Macaca fascicularis: one gene and its partner. The protein of the gene in region 2 purifies or fractionates together with the protein of the main gene of each other region. This does not show direct contact. Links are inferred from orthologs where the notes say so. Each region holds a gene or a part of one and is shown on either strand. Other genes may lie near its edges.

Region 1 (7,676 bases), on a different chromosome or scaffold from region 2:
CCAGCCAGAAAATGGACACCCCAAAGATCCCATAACACTATTATAAGGCTCTCGTGGTATTCATGAAGTGGATATAGTATCACTTGAAGGTAGCCTATGATGTTACAGAGGTATAGTATAAACCCTAGAGCAACCACTAAAATCATGAATTATAGGTAATAAGCAAACAAGAGAGATAAAATGAAATAATAAAAAGTATTCAATCCAAATGGCAAAAGGACATAAAAGAAAAGCAGAACAAATAATAGGTAGGAGAAACAGAAAACAAGTAGCAGGATGACAGATTCAAACATTACCATATTAGTAATCATATTTATGTAAATAGTCTAAATATCTCAATTTTAAGTCAACAAAAGTTGTCAGATTATATATATATATATACACACACTTTTTTTTTTTTTTTTTTTTGAGACAGAGTCTTACTCTGTTGCCCACGCTGGAGTGCAGTGGCTCAATCTCGGCTCACTGCAACCTCTGCCTCCCAGGTTCAAGCAGTTCTCCGCCTCAGCCTCCCAAGTAGCTGGGATTACAGGTGCCTGCCACCATGCCCAGCTAATTCTTGTATTTTTAGTAGAGACAGGGTTTCACCATGTTGGTGAGGCTGGTCTCAAACTCCTGACCTCATGATCCGCCTACCTCAGCCTCCCAAAGTGCTGGGATTACAGGCGTGAGCCCCCACACCAGGGCATTTTTTTTTTTTAAGACCAAGGCTAGAAAAGAGAGGTACCCTTGCTGACTTTAATCAAAGGGAAGTTGGAGTGGCTATATTAGACAAAATAGGCTACAGATCAAAGAACATTACCAAGGATATAGAAAGTCCTCTCATAATAATAAAAGGATTGATTCATCAAGAACACGTTAACAATCCTAAACATGTAATCACTGATATGGTTTAACTATGTCCCCACCCAAATCTCATCTTGAATTCCCATGTGGTGTGGGAGGGACCCAGTGGGAGGTAACTGAATCATGGGGGCAGGTCTTTCCTGTGGTGTTCTCCTGATAATGAATAATTCTCATGAGATCTGATGGTTTTATAAGGGGGAGTTTCTCCGCACAAGCTCTCTCTCTTTGCCTGCTGCCATGTGAGATGTGCCTTTCACCTTCCAAAATGATTGTGAGGCCTTCCCAGCACGTGGAACTGAGTCCATTAAGCCCTTTTTCCTGTATAAATTGCCCAGTCTCGGGTATGTCTTCATTAGCAGCATGAAAATGGACTAATACAATCACCTAATTAAAAACTTCATGGCCGGGTGTGGTGGCTCATGCCTGTAATCCTAGCACTTTGGGAGGCCGAGGCGGGCGGATGGATCACCTGAGCTCAGGAGTTTAAGACCAATCTGGCCAACACGGCAAAATCCCGTCTCTACTAAAAATACAAAAATTAGCCAGACGTGGTGACAGGCACCTGTAATCCCAGCTACTTGGGAGGCTGAGGCAGGAGAATCGCTTGAACCGGGGAGGCGGGGACTGCAGTGAGCTGAGATTATGCCATTGCATTCCAGCCTGGGTTGACAGAGTGAGACTCTGTCTCAAAAAAAAAAAAAAAAAAAAAAAAAGGAAAGTAAAGGACAGTGTCCTGAACCTGAAAAGCAGAAACCTTCACATAGGTTCTGATACCTACACTACAGGCTCCGTGGCCCAGGACAAGTCACAACCTCTCTTAAATAGAAAAGATATCCTCCCCTCCTGTCTCTGAACAGCTATTATAAATGACCAAATGCTATACCATCTATCAGTTCATAGGAATCACTGGGGCAGTTTTTAAAACAGCTGACCCAGTCTCCACCCCAGACCAATTAAATCAGATTACCTGGAGGTTGAATCAGAACACTGGAATGCTGTCAAACCCCCCCCAACCCCAACTCCATCCCGTGATTCCAATTTGTGGCCAAGACAGAACCACCACTGTATATGACAGACTATTCTATAAGTATCTACATACATTTAAGGCACTGTTATTATGCAGTTGTTACTATGTCGGTATCTGGTTTTTTCAAAGAGATTGCATCCTTTCTGATAACAGAGGTTGTGTGTTCAATGCTCTGCAAAAGAAGGATAATGATGCTGCTAATTATGCAGTTGGTAACACTAGCCAAGTGCTTCTGTGTCATTACCGTAATCACCACTAGTCTACAAACCGCGATGGTGAGATGCAAAACCAAGATGCAGCACCACACAGGCAATGGATGTGGCATATGGGACTCGGGCCCCATATGCCTCAAGCCCCAGTCTCACGCTCAGACAAGAGTAGCATTCAAACACTTAACAAACACATCTCTCTATTGCAATGCAGCAGCTGGTACATACTTTTCACTCATACTGCAGTTATTTGTGTATACGCCTTCTCTCCTGTGCTAGATTGCAATTTCCTAGATGCAGGACACCAGGCTCTTTCCCCTTTGTCCTCTTAGGGCCCTGCCCAGCGCCTGGCAGACAGTGGACCATGGACCCTCAATTAATATTTGTTGACCAAATGAATTAGCCACAGTCTGTGGGCCAAGGAAAGATACTGTGACCTTTTATTCCTTACAAACACCTTTATTCCAACCAGGGAGAAAGAGGCACTGTTTTCTGCAGCTTTCTTGCCCACTGGTCCACAGCTAGAAAACTTAAAGAGGGAAACAGCAGAAGCGCTGCTGCGAGGGCTCAGCCATTTGAATTGCTGGATCCCTGAGGAGTTCATTTAAGATAGTGTAATAACATCTGCTCACGCTTCATCTGTACATAACATCTCTATTGTGAAATGAGACCAGACGGGATTAGACTGCCCTTGTTTTCACCTGATACTGTGCTTTCATTTCTCCCAAAGGGGGAGAGGAGGCAGCAATGCTGAAGTATTTAGCAGGCTCAGTTCAGGAATCTAAATTGCACTTAATTGTTAGGAACAAAATGTTGGAAGGGTAGAAAGCAGGCTGCTGGTTCCACAAGGACTCCCTGAGGGGGACACAGTAATTAGTGCTGGTCTTGATTGTGAGGTCTCTTTTCAGAAAGAAAAATCTCTGCAAAATTGAACAGGGAGGTGCTCCACATGAATGCTCCACTCTGCCGAAATGCAAAACCGCAGGGACCTCTCGGATAGGTTCTCCCGGCTAAAGGTCGCCTGGCAAAATGGTTACACACGCAAAAGTGCAAAGCTGCATCAGCACAATCCCTGCTATGTTTTCCTTTCAGGAAATATTCAGCTCCACCGTAGTAAAAGGATTTAGGTGGGCATTCAGGCACCTGGGAAACCTTCAGAGGCATTCTAGAGAGGCAGGCACTGATGAAAAACACATTCCCAGCCCAACTTTACTCTGATATTAAACAGCCAGGAACACTTCCGGGCCTCGGGGATATTTCCCAGCCCACAGGGAGCCAGTATCTGGGGCAAGAGGGACACCCTCCACATCCAGCACATATTGTTCCCACACTTCCAGGCAGCAGCGTTTGACCACTAAACTTTAAGAGGGAACGCAGTACACCTCAAGTAACTAGCTGAAATTTTAACAGTTTTTCACTCCACAGAGCCTTACAAAAGTTTCAGAAAAACAAATGCAATAAATTCCTGATTGTTAGACTTAGGGAAAGGGCGCTGAACCTAGCGGGAGCCAACCAGGACGGGTCTGTTTAATTCAAACACCGTGAAGGGCCGTCCTGTGGACCGCAGAGCGCCGCTGGAACCATGCGGTCCACAGGGAACCTGTAAGGATTCCTACATCCCAGCGCATCCCCCACATTATTGAAGAGCTAAAATGCCCTTTACCTTTGCAAGAAACACGCGAGAGACAGCAGGTCTGCGTAATGGCCAGAATCCCAATTCCATTGCAGGGAAAGGAAACCAAGAAGCCTTTTCAAGAGGCTGTTGGGTTGGAAAGAGCTAAGCCTGGACCCTCTTCCATGCTTACCAGAAGCCGCTCCCACTAGGCAAAGCTCCACTGGCCCTCTCGCTCCTTGTCCTGCGCGCACACACACAAGGGTACACACGTACCCACAAGGGTACACACGCACCCACCAGGACTCTGGCACGGACCAGCGTACACATGCCTGTACACACAGACGCGCGCTCACAAGCACGCACGCGTGGACGTGCAGACGGGGGTGCACAAACACACACCGACATACGCGCACTGACAAGGGCACACGCATACACATGAGCACAGGCGGGTACACACCGGCACAGCGTCCACGGGCACCAGCGCACACCCGGCGCAGCCCACGTGCGTGCAGCCCTGAAGGCGCCCGTGCCTCGCGCCCCCGGCCCCGCACCCCAGCTCCGGGCCGCACTCACCTGGCGCCGGCGCCGGCGCGCCCGGGTTCCGCGCGCGAACCCTCCCGGTGGCCCGGGGGTCAGGGCGCGCAGCCGCATGGCCGCCCCTGCCGCCCGCGGGGAGCCCGACCCGGCCAGGCGAGGACCCCTCCCCAGTGGCGGTCGGGGCAGAGGATGCCTCCCGAGTTCCCTGCGGACACAAGTCCCAGCAAATGGCCAACACGGGAGGAGCGAAGGGCTCTCCAGGTCCCAGCCGCGCGCCGCCGCCTCCACGGCCACTCCTGTCCGTCAGAAGTCAGACGCCGGGAACAAAAGGCAGGCGCGAGAGCACGGTCCCGCACGGCGTCCCTCCATCTGACACGAATTAGCCCTCCCTCCCCCGCCCGCCCCAACCGCAGCTCCGAGCGAGCGCGGAGGCACAGGCTGAGCCGCCAAACACTGGAAAAGTGGGTGAAGAAACGCCTTCCAGGCGGAGGGAGCAGGGTATTGCAGCCGCCATCTGACTGGAATTACGGACGCGCGGAGCTTGGTGCAGGGTTCAGCTTTACTAGGATTTCAAACCTCTCCGAGAACGCTGGCGAGGGGCTTAAAAGAATCAAAACCGGGCACGCTCTTCGACTTTCGGAATTTCTAAATCTTAACTATTATCCAGTCAACTCTGCATCTGTAATGAGCAGTAATCTGCACTACCCTGGTAATCTACACTGGCAAACAGGGCATTTGGAGTGGAAAACAGGGAAACACCGAGGCAGAAAGGCTTTTTTTCTAATTTGCCTTTTCAACTAGGAAAAACTAGGAGCCTGGCCTTGCAAAGGACACGCCTAACCAGGTGAGGATTTCAAGCAAAGCTCAAAGCACAGGACCGCCCGGGGCCTTGCACACCTGGGGGCTGGGCTGCACCTCCCTGCCCCCCTCCCTATCTCCCAGCCCATCCCTCCCCCGCACCGCCCCTCCCAACCCCCCCGCCGTCCTGCTCCTGGCAAATCAGGAAAATTCACAGCAGATCTCGAGTCCCGTCTTCCTTTATGGGTCTGCGATTTTAGAAGGAAATTAGAAACCCGAGGTTCAGGAGGTGAAGATGACAGGGTGATGGAAGAAGATGGACAAGCCAGGATCCTGAAGGAAGGGTCACTTAGAAACGCAGGAGGAGAGGTGGGCAAGATCCACAGGCAGATCCCTCCTTTCAACGCCTGTCGGACTTCACCAGCCTTCCCGGGGCAGTGGATCTTGGCTGTCTACAAGAAGCTTTGTGGCAAGACTGAAAATAAAAGATCATGTTCAAGATGAAGCCACTGCCTGTGGTCTGTGGGGGGCAGGGGAAGAGATCCCTGCCTCAGAGTAGGATAGGGGGCCTTCTAGCCTCAGGCCAGCTAACCCTGTACTCCTACTACCGGCCTTCACTCCAGGCCCAGCCTAGGGGTAGTGTCCCAGAGCTCAGCCTTTGTGGCTCCAACACTCCAACTTCGGATCTACAACTCCACGTGCAACTCCACATGCCTTGGATGTGGGGAGCAGTATGGGTGGGCTAAGTCGTGGCCTTTATGGCTGACATATGTGCAAATTCCAGCCATCAATTCAACTGGCCGACGTTAACCTCTCAAGTTCTGGCACTAAATATCCATCTTTCCGTTTCTGCAGTAGAAGAGCAAAGCTGCTCTTCAACTTTCAACTACAAAGGAAAAAACCTCCTCCTAGAACACACCATTCTGGGTTCCAATTCCTCACTAAATCATCACCTGGCAGACAAGCAGGCATTCTCATTTCCCCCTGTCCTTCAAATGACATCATTACTCACCTTTTTCTATATTCATTCCTTCCTTCATTTTCCTGTATTCATTCATCATTTTTTTCCTATAGCGTATCCAAACTTTAGTTTTTTCAAATGTCTTTCCCTGAGAACACATCTGTATCATATTCATTCCAGATTCCTTCACATCTGACACAATACCAGGTACACAGAAGTGTCTACAAACAGCTAAGAACAGGACATGCTGCTGTCGTGGTTTACCCAAGACAAACACGCCCAGAGGTCAGCTGGATCTACCACCGCCCTTACCACGGTGCCCACGGGAACCGGCCGAAGAAATCTGAATTCAGCAATGAACAGATAGCTCCCAGCAGGATAAAACTCCTCCAACCTGAGTACCAGGATTCACACTCTCTGGGGTCCACCCAGGAACAATGGTCAGGAGCACAGGCCAGCCCACTGCCCATGCAAGCCAGAGTGGAAGGCAAATAGTTGAAGGTGGCTTTTTATTACAGGGATACCCTGAATCTGCTCTTATTTAAAAGGGTAGCCATTCAGAAAACTCCCATACTTCATTACTAGTAACAAATAACATGCATGTGATAAACCTCCCGAGTGAGGACAACAAACTGATTTTTCACTGGCAAGAAACTGCTCAATCCTAAGGCCAATCCAAATTCTCCAGCAGGCCACCTCTCCAGCCCCTCTCCCTGCCCCCCTCTGACCTCCTCCTGCCAGGCTTGCAATCTAGGCTCTTACCCTCCAGGGTCCTTCTGCTTTGCACCCTTGGGCTCACCTGGGGCTTCTCCCATTCTCTTTTCTGGCTGAAAACCGCTGTCCTGGGCTCAGTTGAAGATCCGCCTCCCATCTGACCTCCCAGACTGGTTAATCATCCTCCATGGCTGAGCCACCCAAGGATGGTTGGGGCCCTGACCCTCTAGTGTGGTCATAAGTCTTGTGCCTCCAATAGGAAGTCCTAACCTTGTCTGGGATTTTCCACACACAGCACCAAGCAGGAGCAATAAACACTGGTGCAGGAATGAAAACATTCTGCTTTGCTGTATTTCTACCGCATCAACACTGGTGTTCACTGCCTGTCTCAGACCACACCCTTCTGAGTCCTCCCAGAAGTAAGCTGTAGCTGAGGGTCTGGGGATGCAAAGGGACTCAGAAGCCAGGGCAGGTGGGGGCCAACTCCTCCAGGCACAGACCCTCACCTCAAAACTTGGGTGGCAGACTGGCCTCACTCCATCTTAAGGCCATAGTGAGCTCTATGCTGCTACCCAGCTTCCGATTTTCTTCATGCTTTGCCACAGTCCTCTGTGCTTTTTACTGGCCGGGTTGTCTCACCCTAGCTTCTGACTGCACCTGGTTCCCAGGAACAAAACGAGGTTGTTCCCAGGAACAAAACGAGGTTCTTCCCTGGGAGGATGGATTCCAGACAGCTAAGGCAGACATCAGCAAACCAGGCATCAGGAAGAGAGGCTACATCTCAACCTGGATTGGAAACCCAGCTGGAACTGGGGACATGAGCCCTTCCATGAGTCAGACTTTAACACCAAGTACAAGGTTCCGTGGGAGAGAGCTGAGGGGCCACTCATGCCCCTGTTTTGTCATTGGAAACTGGAGGCTGCTCCTATGCGTCCATTCCCACACACGATCATGCATTCACCCACAGAT
Region 2 (7,729 bases):
TCCTAATGTGTCCAACTCCCTCCTGGGAAGCTCTGGGAGGCTCCAGAATCCCCCTACCCTCAATCTCCCAGCCTGCTTCCCTTCCTTGGCTACTGGGACAGGGTGGGAAGATGAGGCTGGCATGGCTGTTCTCGGGCTGGGGTTCAGGATGCCTAGGTTCCTTGTCTAAGTCTCAGGCTAAGCAGGCCTCTATTTCCTCTGGGAAAATGCCAAACTGGGCTGACCTAGCCAGAGCTGGGAGGCGGGAGGCAGCCAGGCTCTTAAGAGGCCTTGTCGGCCGGGCGCAGTGGCTCACACCTGTAATCCTGGTACTTTGGGAGGCCGAGGTGGGCAGATCGCCTGAGGTCCAGAGTTCGAGACCAGCCTGACACGGAGAAACCCCGTCTCTACTAAAAACACAAAATTAGCCAGGCGTGATGGCACATGCCTGTAATCCCAACTTGGAAGGCTGAGGCAGGAGAATCACTTAAACCCGGGAGCCGGAGGTTGTGGTGAGCCAAGATCATGCCATCGCACTCTAGACTGGGCAACAAGAGCAAAACTCCATCTCACCAAAAAAAAGAAAAAAAAAAAGAGAGAGAAGATGCCTTGTCTATTCAGCTCTGATGCTGGGAGACTGGAAGGGGAAAGGGTGGAGTCAGGTCCTGGACCCTCACCAGCAGCCCATCTTCCCAGGGCCAGCCCCATGCTGTAGGCCAGGCAATCACATGGTAATGGGGAGAGGGGAGGGCAGGGAAGGGCACTGGCCATAGTATTCTAGAACCTCAGGGCCAGGGGGTTTCAGAGGGGCTCCCCAGGCAGAGACCACCTCTTTGCCAGGTGAGTGGTCAGCCAACGTTGGCTCGTGGCTCAGGCACCTTCCCCACAGGTTGAGGCAGCCAGCAGTGGACACTCCTTCAACAATGCCAGTCCTACTCATAGAGGGAGTGGAGGAAGGCCTGTGCCAGGCACTTTAGAGCCCCTTGGTTAGTTAGTTGACACTGTCCTTACACCTTCCTCTAAAGTAGGTGTCACCATCCTGTTATTTATATAAAGGCAGCTCAGCAGGTCAGTGACCTGTCTAAGGTCCCTCCACCCTGGGTCTAAGTGGCATGTCTGAGCCTGGAACCCATATTCAGTTGAGTGCCAAGTTGCCTGTGCCCTCCAACACCCTGGCTGCTTTTGGGACTCACAGTAATGACAACCACAACAGCAACAGAGGGGAAAGATGCACACGCTCCAGTGTATGGGTAATGGCGCTGCAGCAGGCCAGCCTGGAATATTCTGTAGCTTTTTAGAAGCAGTATTACTTAGACCATGTAGCACCATGAGAAAATGCCCACAGACGCAGTATTAAATGAAAAAAGGTGTCACGGTACACACACTCCAGTGACAACGGCGACGAAGGAAAAAGACAGGGAAAAGACCAGCAGGGAACTCCAAAATGCTAACACAGTCACTGCCTGCTGAAGAAATAGTGGGTGATTTTTGTTTCGTTTTCTAAATTTCCTGTAGCGCTGTTTTGTTATTTTCTAAATCAAGAAAATGAGTACATTCGGTTTCCCTAGAACGAGCTCAGATTCACTTCCCTGGGACCCGCCTGCTCCCTAAAGCTGGCCCAGGTGTCTGGGACAACTTCTGCCACGGGATGCCTTTCTCATTTGGGACAGTCCCTCAGACATAGGAGAATCTGTCTCTACTTTCTCTTTCCCAGACTCAATCAACATCCTTGGTTCTTTGAAGACGACTTGTCAAGGTTTTAAAATCCTTCAAAAGATGGAGCCCAGAACTGCACCCAGACAGGTCTGCCCCCTTTGGGGGGAGCAGCCACATCACACTGTGGATCATGGGCCTCAACCCCTACCTATATTTGTTTGGAGGAAGCTGCATTCTGTCCCCAAACTTTCCAACCCTTGCCATGGGCCACTCTGTGTGGCTCAGCCTTTTGGGGTCTGGCCCCCCTGCAGTGGTAAATGGGAATATTTTCTGGTCTTTCCTTGCCCCGACCCAATGCAGAGAGAAGAGCAGCCGCTTCTGAGAGGGAGGAGGGCACCAAGCTCACTCCCTCTCAGAATGAACGAAAAGCACATCCCCGCACACGTGCTAGCCAGAAGCCAGACTCCTTTCTTCAAAGGCCCTGGACCCTGGGTCGCACCCTCACAGCTCACAGTTGGTAAAAATTAAAATAAAATAAAAATTAAAAAGGCTGGCTTGGGGTGGGAGGGAGCCAACCATGTCAGGCTCCAGCCCGAAGTCCCTCAGGCTGGAAAGGAAGTTAGGGCTGGTGTGGGGCCATGTGAGGGGAGTCTCACAGGCCCAGGACATCTGGGTCCCCTCCACTGTGCATGTCAGGACAGCCAGAAAAAAACTGAAAAAACAAAAAAACCTAAATTGTGAGCAGGGACCCAGCAGGACAAAACTGCCAGCAGCTCCAAGGGAGCCCAGACACCACTCAACACCCTCCAGGGCACTGCCTGCTCTCCTGGGCCAGAGGATCCTGCCAGGCCCCGACTTCACCCCTGCTGCCCTTGCCCTGTTCCTGCTGTGGCTACAACCAAGAAAGACATTGGAACGGCCAGGGTACTAGGAGCTTGAAATAGGCCCCCTGGGTGTCCCCACTCTGTAGCCTGCTGCCAGTGGAGACAGGGCTTCCACGATTCCCATCTGACCCCATTTATATTCTGAACTTGGCTGCTCCTGTGCCAGCTGGGCCATAGGTGTGGGGAGCGCTGGGTCAGGACTGACCACCAGGTTGTTTCAACTCAGAGCCGGGGCCAGGAGCCGGCCTTCCTGCCACACCACACAGATGGCCCCACACCACACATTCCCCACATCTCCTGCTAGCTGACCCAGCCACAGCTGGGGCCGGAAGCCCTTTCACTCCCTCCAGCCCTCTGCAGGGAAGCACGTGCTCAACCAACAGCCCCTCCGGGGCCAGGCTGGGGGGCCTGTATACCCAGTGGGTGAAGGTGCCTGCCTGGTTTCCTTCCACCCACAGCCATCCAGCCCTGCAGAGCTGGGGATGAAAGGATAGCCAGCCTAACTCCACTAGGGGCCTGGGGTAGCAACTTCTCCCTTTGAGCCTCGGTTCGCGGGTGTACAAAATGGGCGGGGAAGTGAACTGGTAGTTAAGCTCCAAAAATCTGCTGGCTGGACACACCCCTTCCTGACACCTGGTCTGGACCACAAAAAGCCTAGGAGAATGGGTGCCCCAGGGTGCCAGAAGGTGGGGGCATGGTGCTAACGCTCAGTCACCTCCACCCAGGCGGAAGGCCTGCCCAGTTTCCCACCCAAAGGTCAGAGGTCCCTTGGCTTACGCCTGGTCTTCTGAGAGGCCAAGGGTGACAGACTCAATCCCAGGACCTGGGCTTCTAACTGCTCACCCGAGGTGGCTGGGCCCTGGGCTTGCTTGCAGCCCGCAGGGTCACGGTGGGATAATGAGGGAGGGATCAGAACCAAGCAAGTCAGGGCACCTGCAGGGAGGTCCTGGACAGGGAACGGCAGGGGAGTCCAGCACTCTCTCTAGGGACCTGGCCCATACGGATCCTCTTCCTCCAGACTCCAGCCACCTCCTACTCTGAGCTCCACAGAGCGGGGACTCGAGATGACCCGAGAAGACAAGTCCGTGGAGCTTAAGGGCAGTACGTCCCTCGTGCACTCCCTTCCCATTTGGGTTCTGACAGTGGCTCCTGGGAGAATTCGAACCCTTGCAAGGGAGTAAAGGAGAGAGGGGAGAGGGGGGAGAAGGGGGGAATGGGAGTGGACGCGACAGTGGCAGCAACAGAGACCAGACGCGCGACCTCCACCCTCTTCCCTCCAGGGGACACTCCGGGACGGCCGGGCACTCACCTCTCTTGGGGCACTGCGGTCCAGGCCACCCCGCCGCGGGCGGCATCAGCGGCCTGCGGGACGGTCCATGAGGTCAGGGGGGAGGGGAGGGGCACAGGGGTCCCCAGGGGGTACGGTACAAAGAGGTATGAGTGCGAGGCGAGGGGAGGAGGGACCGCCAGGCAGAGGCAGGGGGACGGCCGCAGGGCCCGGGTAGCGGAGGGAAGAAAGGCGGGGGAAGGGGGCGGGAGGGAGTCGGGGGGAGGAAACAATGTAGCCGGCGCGGACCCGGCAGAGTTCCGCTTCCGAGAGCCGCCACTGAGGTTCGATTTTGGAACGTCGCGCTGGCTGCCGGGGGCCGCCCCGGACGCTCGATCCCGGCCGCGAGGCTCCTCGCGCTCCACGCCCCGCGAGCTCCGGCGGCCAGAGACTGGCTGGGGCGGGAGGGACGGCGGGCCGGGGTATGGCCCCGACGGCGGCGCAGGAACCCGCCCCGGCAGGATCCCCCGGGCAAGGCGCGGGTGGGGCAGGAGCGGGAGGGCAGCAGCGGGCTCGGCGGCGGCGGCCAACCTCGGCTTGCCCGGGGCTCCGCTGGGAGGAAGCTCGCAGGCCTGGCGAGAGGAAGCGCGGCCCGGATCCTCCGCCCGCGGCAGCGCGCCTGCGCGAGGGGGCCTGCCCGGCGCGCGGCGGGGCGTGGGCCGGCAGGGCGGCGCCCCCTGCCGGGCGCCGGGGGCACTGCGGGGGGTGTGTCCGCGCCCACGCCCTGCCCCCACTTGCCTGCCTGGCTACGTTGAAGGCTCCAGGGTCTCCCCCACAGCGCACACCAGCCGGCCTGGGAGCAACCTCCCAGCCTTCTCTGGACGCAGCTCTCCCGCTGCCAAAATGCTGGGGGCCGGGCCTGGGCCCCTCTCCTCAGGTCTGTTTGTGGAGAGTGGGCCTGACTCCCGGCAGAAAGCCTTCATTCATTCATTCACCAACATTTCCTGGCGCTGACATCGTGGCGGAGCCTGCTCTGGAGTCTATTGGCAAGATCATTTCACTACCGTCAAGGCGTTCTCGGTCGGGTGGGGGTAGACTGACAGGCCAACAGACAATCGCAAGGAAATAATTGATCAAAGTGGAGAGGTGGCGGACACGGTTCCCAGGAGGCAGAAGGAAAGCGAGGGCTAACGGGGAGACCTCACAGAGCTGGGACTGGGCAGAGGGAACTGCACGCACAAGGGCGGGGAGTGCGGAGGGAGCTTGGTGGCTTCTGGGATCTAAAAATAGCTCAGGCGGCTGCCGCTTGCAGTGTGGGTGGGGGAGAGTGGTGGGAGATGGGTTCCTGCAAACAACAGGGGCAAAAAAGATCTAAAGAGCCTCATGGGACTTTCTTGGAGTTTATGTTCAGCCTGGAGGCAATAAAGAAGTTGTCAGCAGCTCCGTGACCTTGGGCAAGTTACTCAACCTCTCTGTGCTTAATTTCCCCGTTTGGTAAAATAGGTGATATATAATGGCACCGACTTCTTAAGTTTTTGTGGGGAGGGGAGGAAATTAGTTAATACATTTAAAGTGCTTAGTGTGCAGTAGCTGGCACGTGAGGAGCCCTCCGTTAAGCAAGGGCTGTTATATCATTGTTAAAAAGAAGCAGGGAGATGACCTGCTCTGAGCCACAGGAGAGGACAGCGTGCTCAGGCATGACGCAGGTGGGAGAGTGCAGGGTGGCGGGGGAACAGAATGGGGGTACAGTGGTGAGGGCGAGACTGGGGAACAGAATGGGCATACAGTGATGAGGAGGAGACCAGAGACTCCAGCGTAGGGAGGAGGTGAAGGTGGGGGACTTTCTAGGGACTAGACCCTGAAGCAAGGGTCAGGCTTATGTGGACAGAGGGAAGAGGCACTCTTGGGGTTGGTGGGGAGGAAGTGGGGCATGCTGACAAAGTCTTGTAACACAAAATAAGCATGAAGAGGCCCAAGGGAGCGAGAAGAGGGCAAAGAGCCCTGTGGGAGACAGAGCTGGGAGACAGTATGGCTGCAGTTGTTTTAAAGAGCCTTGGATGCCAGGAGCAGGAGCTGCCCCCAAAACCACAGGTTGGCCCTCTGACCCAGGGCACCCTTAGGCCGGTTTCCCAGCTGAAGCCAGCCCTTTGGGGAGGGATGTCCTTTGAGGAGACAGTCATGAATTTCAGCGATAGGTGTGGTGTGATAGAAAAAAGATGAATTTGGGGTTGAAGTCTCCAAATTAAATTTCAACCCGTTCACTTACTAGCTGTGTGACTTAGGGCTGGTTACCTAAGGTCTCTGAGCTGTTTCCTCTTTTGTAAGATCAGACTCAAAATACTCTTCTCTCATGATAGATAGTGCAGATTCAGCAAGATAACGGCCGGGGGTGAGGGAGTGGAAAGGGTGCTCAGCAGAGCTGGTTTCCCTTTCTTTCTTCTGAGGTCAAGATGGAATGATAATATGGGGTGGGATGGGGGGGCCGCCTCTCAGCCTAAAAGAAAGCTCTTCAGCAGCTCTGCAAAGGCTTCTGGGAGGAATAAATTGACATCTCCTCTCCTCTGGCTGAATCAGCTAGCAGAATGGGAAAGAAAGGACTAGGGATTTGGGGAAAATACTCTAATCCCTGTTCCAGTTTTGTCACCAACCTTTCTTTATCCCCAAATACACTTGACTTTTTCCCCTGGGTGTGCTGTGGCCCAGCTGTGAACTTTGGAGTCAAATAGACCTGCATTTGAATCCTGGCTCCACCTCTTCTCAGCAGAGTGAAATAAATTTTTTAATCTTCCTGTACTCCAGGCACTGGGGATAAAACCATAAACAAATCGATAAACGGCCCCACTCCCACAGACCTGTCCTCTGGTGGAAGAGCCAATTAACTTCTAACATCATCATTCATTCATTCACTCATTCGTTCTCTCAACTAATGCGTATTGAGCACCTACTAAGTGCTAGGTGTGAAGTGCTAATTAGGGAAAGGGAGTCAGGTCAGTGGGAGCAAGGGAAAGCAAAAAGAGAAATTCGATAAGCTATGAGTGTGCCTTTCTTCATGTCCAGGACATAGCTCTCTTCATGTCCATTGCAGAGAGCTCTCCTGTGCAAGCAATTCACAATCTTCCTGTGCCCAACTATCACCAGTCTCCTGCAGGTTAGCTCACTGCACCCTCGGCGTCGATACTGCACAAAAACCTTCTCAACAGATAGCATAACACTATTCTATAAAATCTCCAACAACCTTTTGTTTCCTGGCAGTCAGCTTCTCTTCTACCTTCTTGCAATGTATTTTCCTACTTTTTCTAATAAATCTGCCTTTATCTACAACTGTCTTGGCAAGTTTTTTGTTTTGTTTTGTTTTGTTTTGAGACGGAGTCTTGTTCTGTTGCCCAGGCTGGAGTGCAGTGGCATGATCTCGGCTCACCGCAACCTCCCGCTCTAGCATCCAACCATTCTGTCTTAGCCTCCCACATAGCTGGGACTGTAGGTATGTGCCACCATGCTCAGCTAATTTTTTATTTTTAGTAGAGATGGTTTTCACCATGTTGGCCAGGCTGGTCTCAAACTCCTGACCTCAAATAATCTACCCGCCCTGGCCTCCCGAAGTGCTGGGATTACAGGCGGTAGCCACGACGCCTGGCCTCGGTAAATTCTTTTACCTCCGCACCACCGGTCACCCGCTACACTAGGCGTTGTTCTGGATGCTGGAGATGAAGGGGTGAGCAAGACTGCCAAGGTTCCTGTCCAAGAGGATATGGAAATAAAGAGAGCAAGCAGACACATGTGTGAAGGCAATGAGCTATCTTCATCCATGGGTGAGAGACATGGAGACATGGATGAGAGAGGACTAGGGCGGCAGAGCTCAGCCTCCAGACCTCAGGAAGAGGTCTGGGCCAGTGTGGGAGGAGTGGGGGAGGGTATTACAGGTGGAGAGGAAGACAGTGAAAGA

The links. Proteins that work in one complex are often made in the same cells at the same time.
Region 1: the proteins of CSK (region 2) and TNS3 purify together in Homo sapiens (affinity purification with mass spectrometry; 4 studies listed by BioGRID and IntAct, with this or other methods). This does not show direct contact. The link is inferred for Macaca fascicularis from reciprocal best matches to the Homo sapiens genes CSK and TNS3.

The regions. Positions count from the first base shown.
Region 1 is NC_088377.1:82,956,005-82,963,680, reverse strand, and holds the start of TNS3 (tensin-3), read right to left. Parts: upstream 4,606-7,676; 5' UTR 4,349-4,605; coding exon 4,271-4,348; intron 4,025-4,270; exon of another isoform or gene 3,806-4,024; coding exon of another isoform or gene 3,746-3,805; intron 1-3,745. UniProt on the Homo sapiens protein: May act as a protein phosphatase and/or a lipid phosphatase. Involved in the dissociation of the integrin-tensin-actin complex. EGF activates TNS4 and down-regulates TNS3 which results in capping the tail of ITGB1.
Region 2 is NC_088381.1:51,900,601-51,908,329, reverse strand, and holds the start of CSK (tyrosine-protein kinase CSK), read right to left. Parts: upstream 5,026-7,729; 5' UTR 4,585-5,025; intron 4,450-4,584; exon of another isoform or gene 3,829-4,449; intron 1-3,828. UniProt on the Homo sapiens protein: Non-receptor tyrosine-protein kinase that plays an important role in the regulation of cell growth, differentiation, migration and immune response.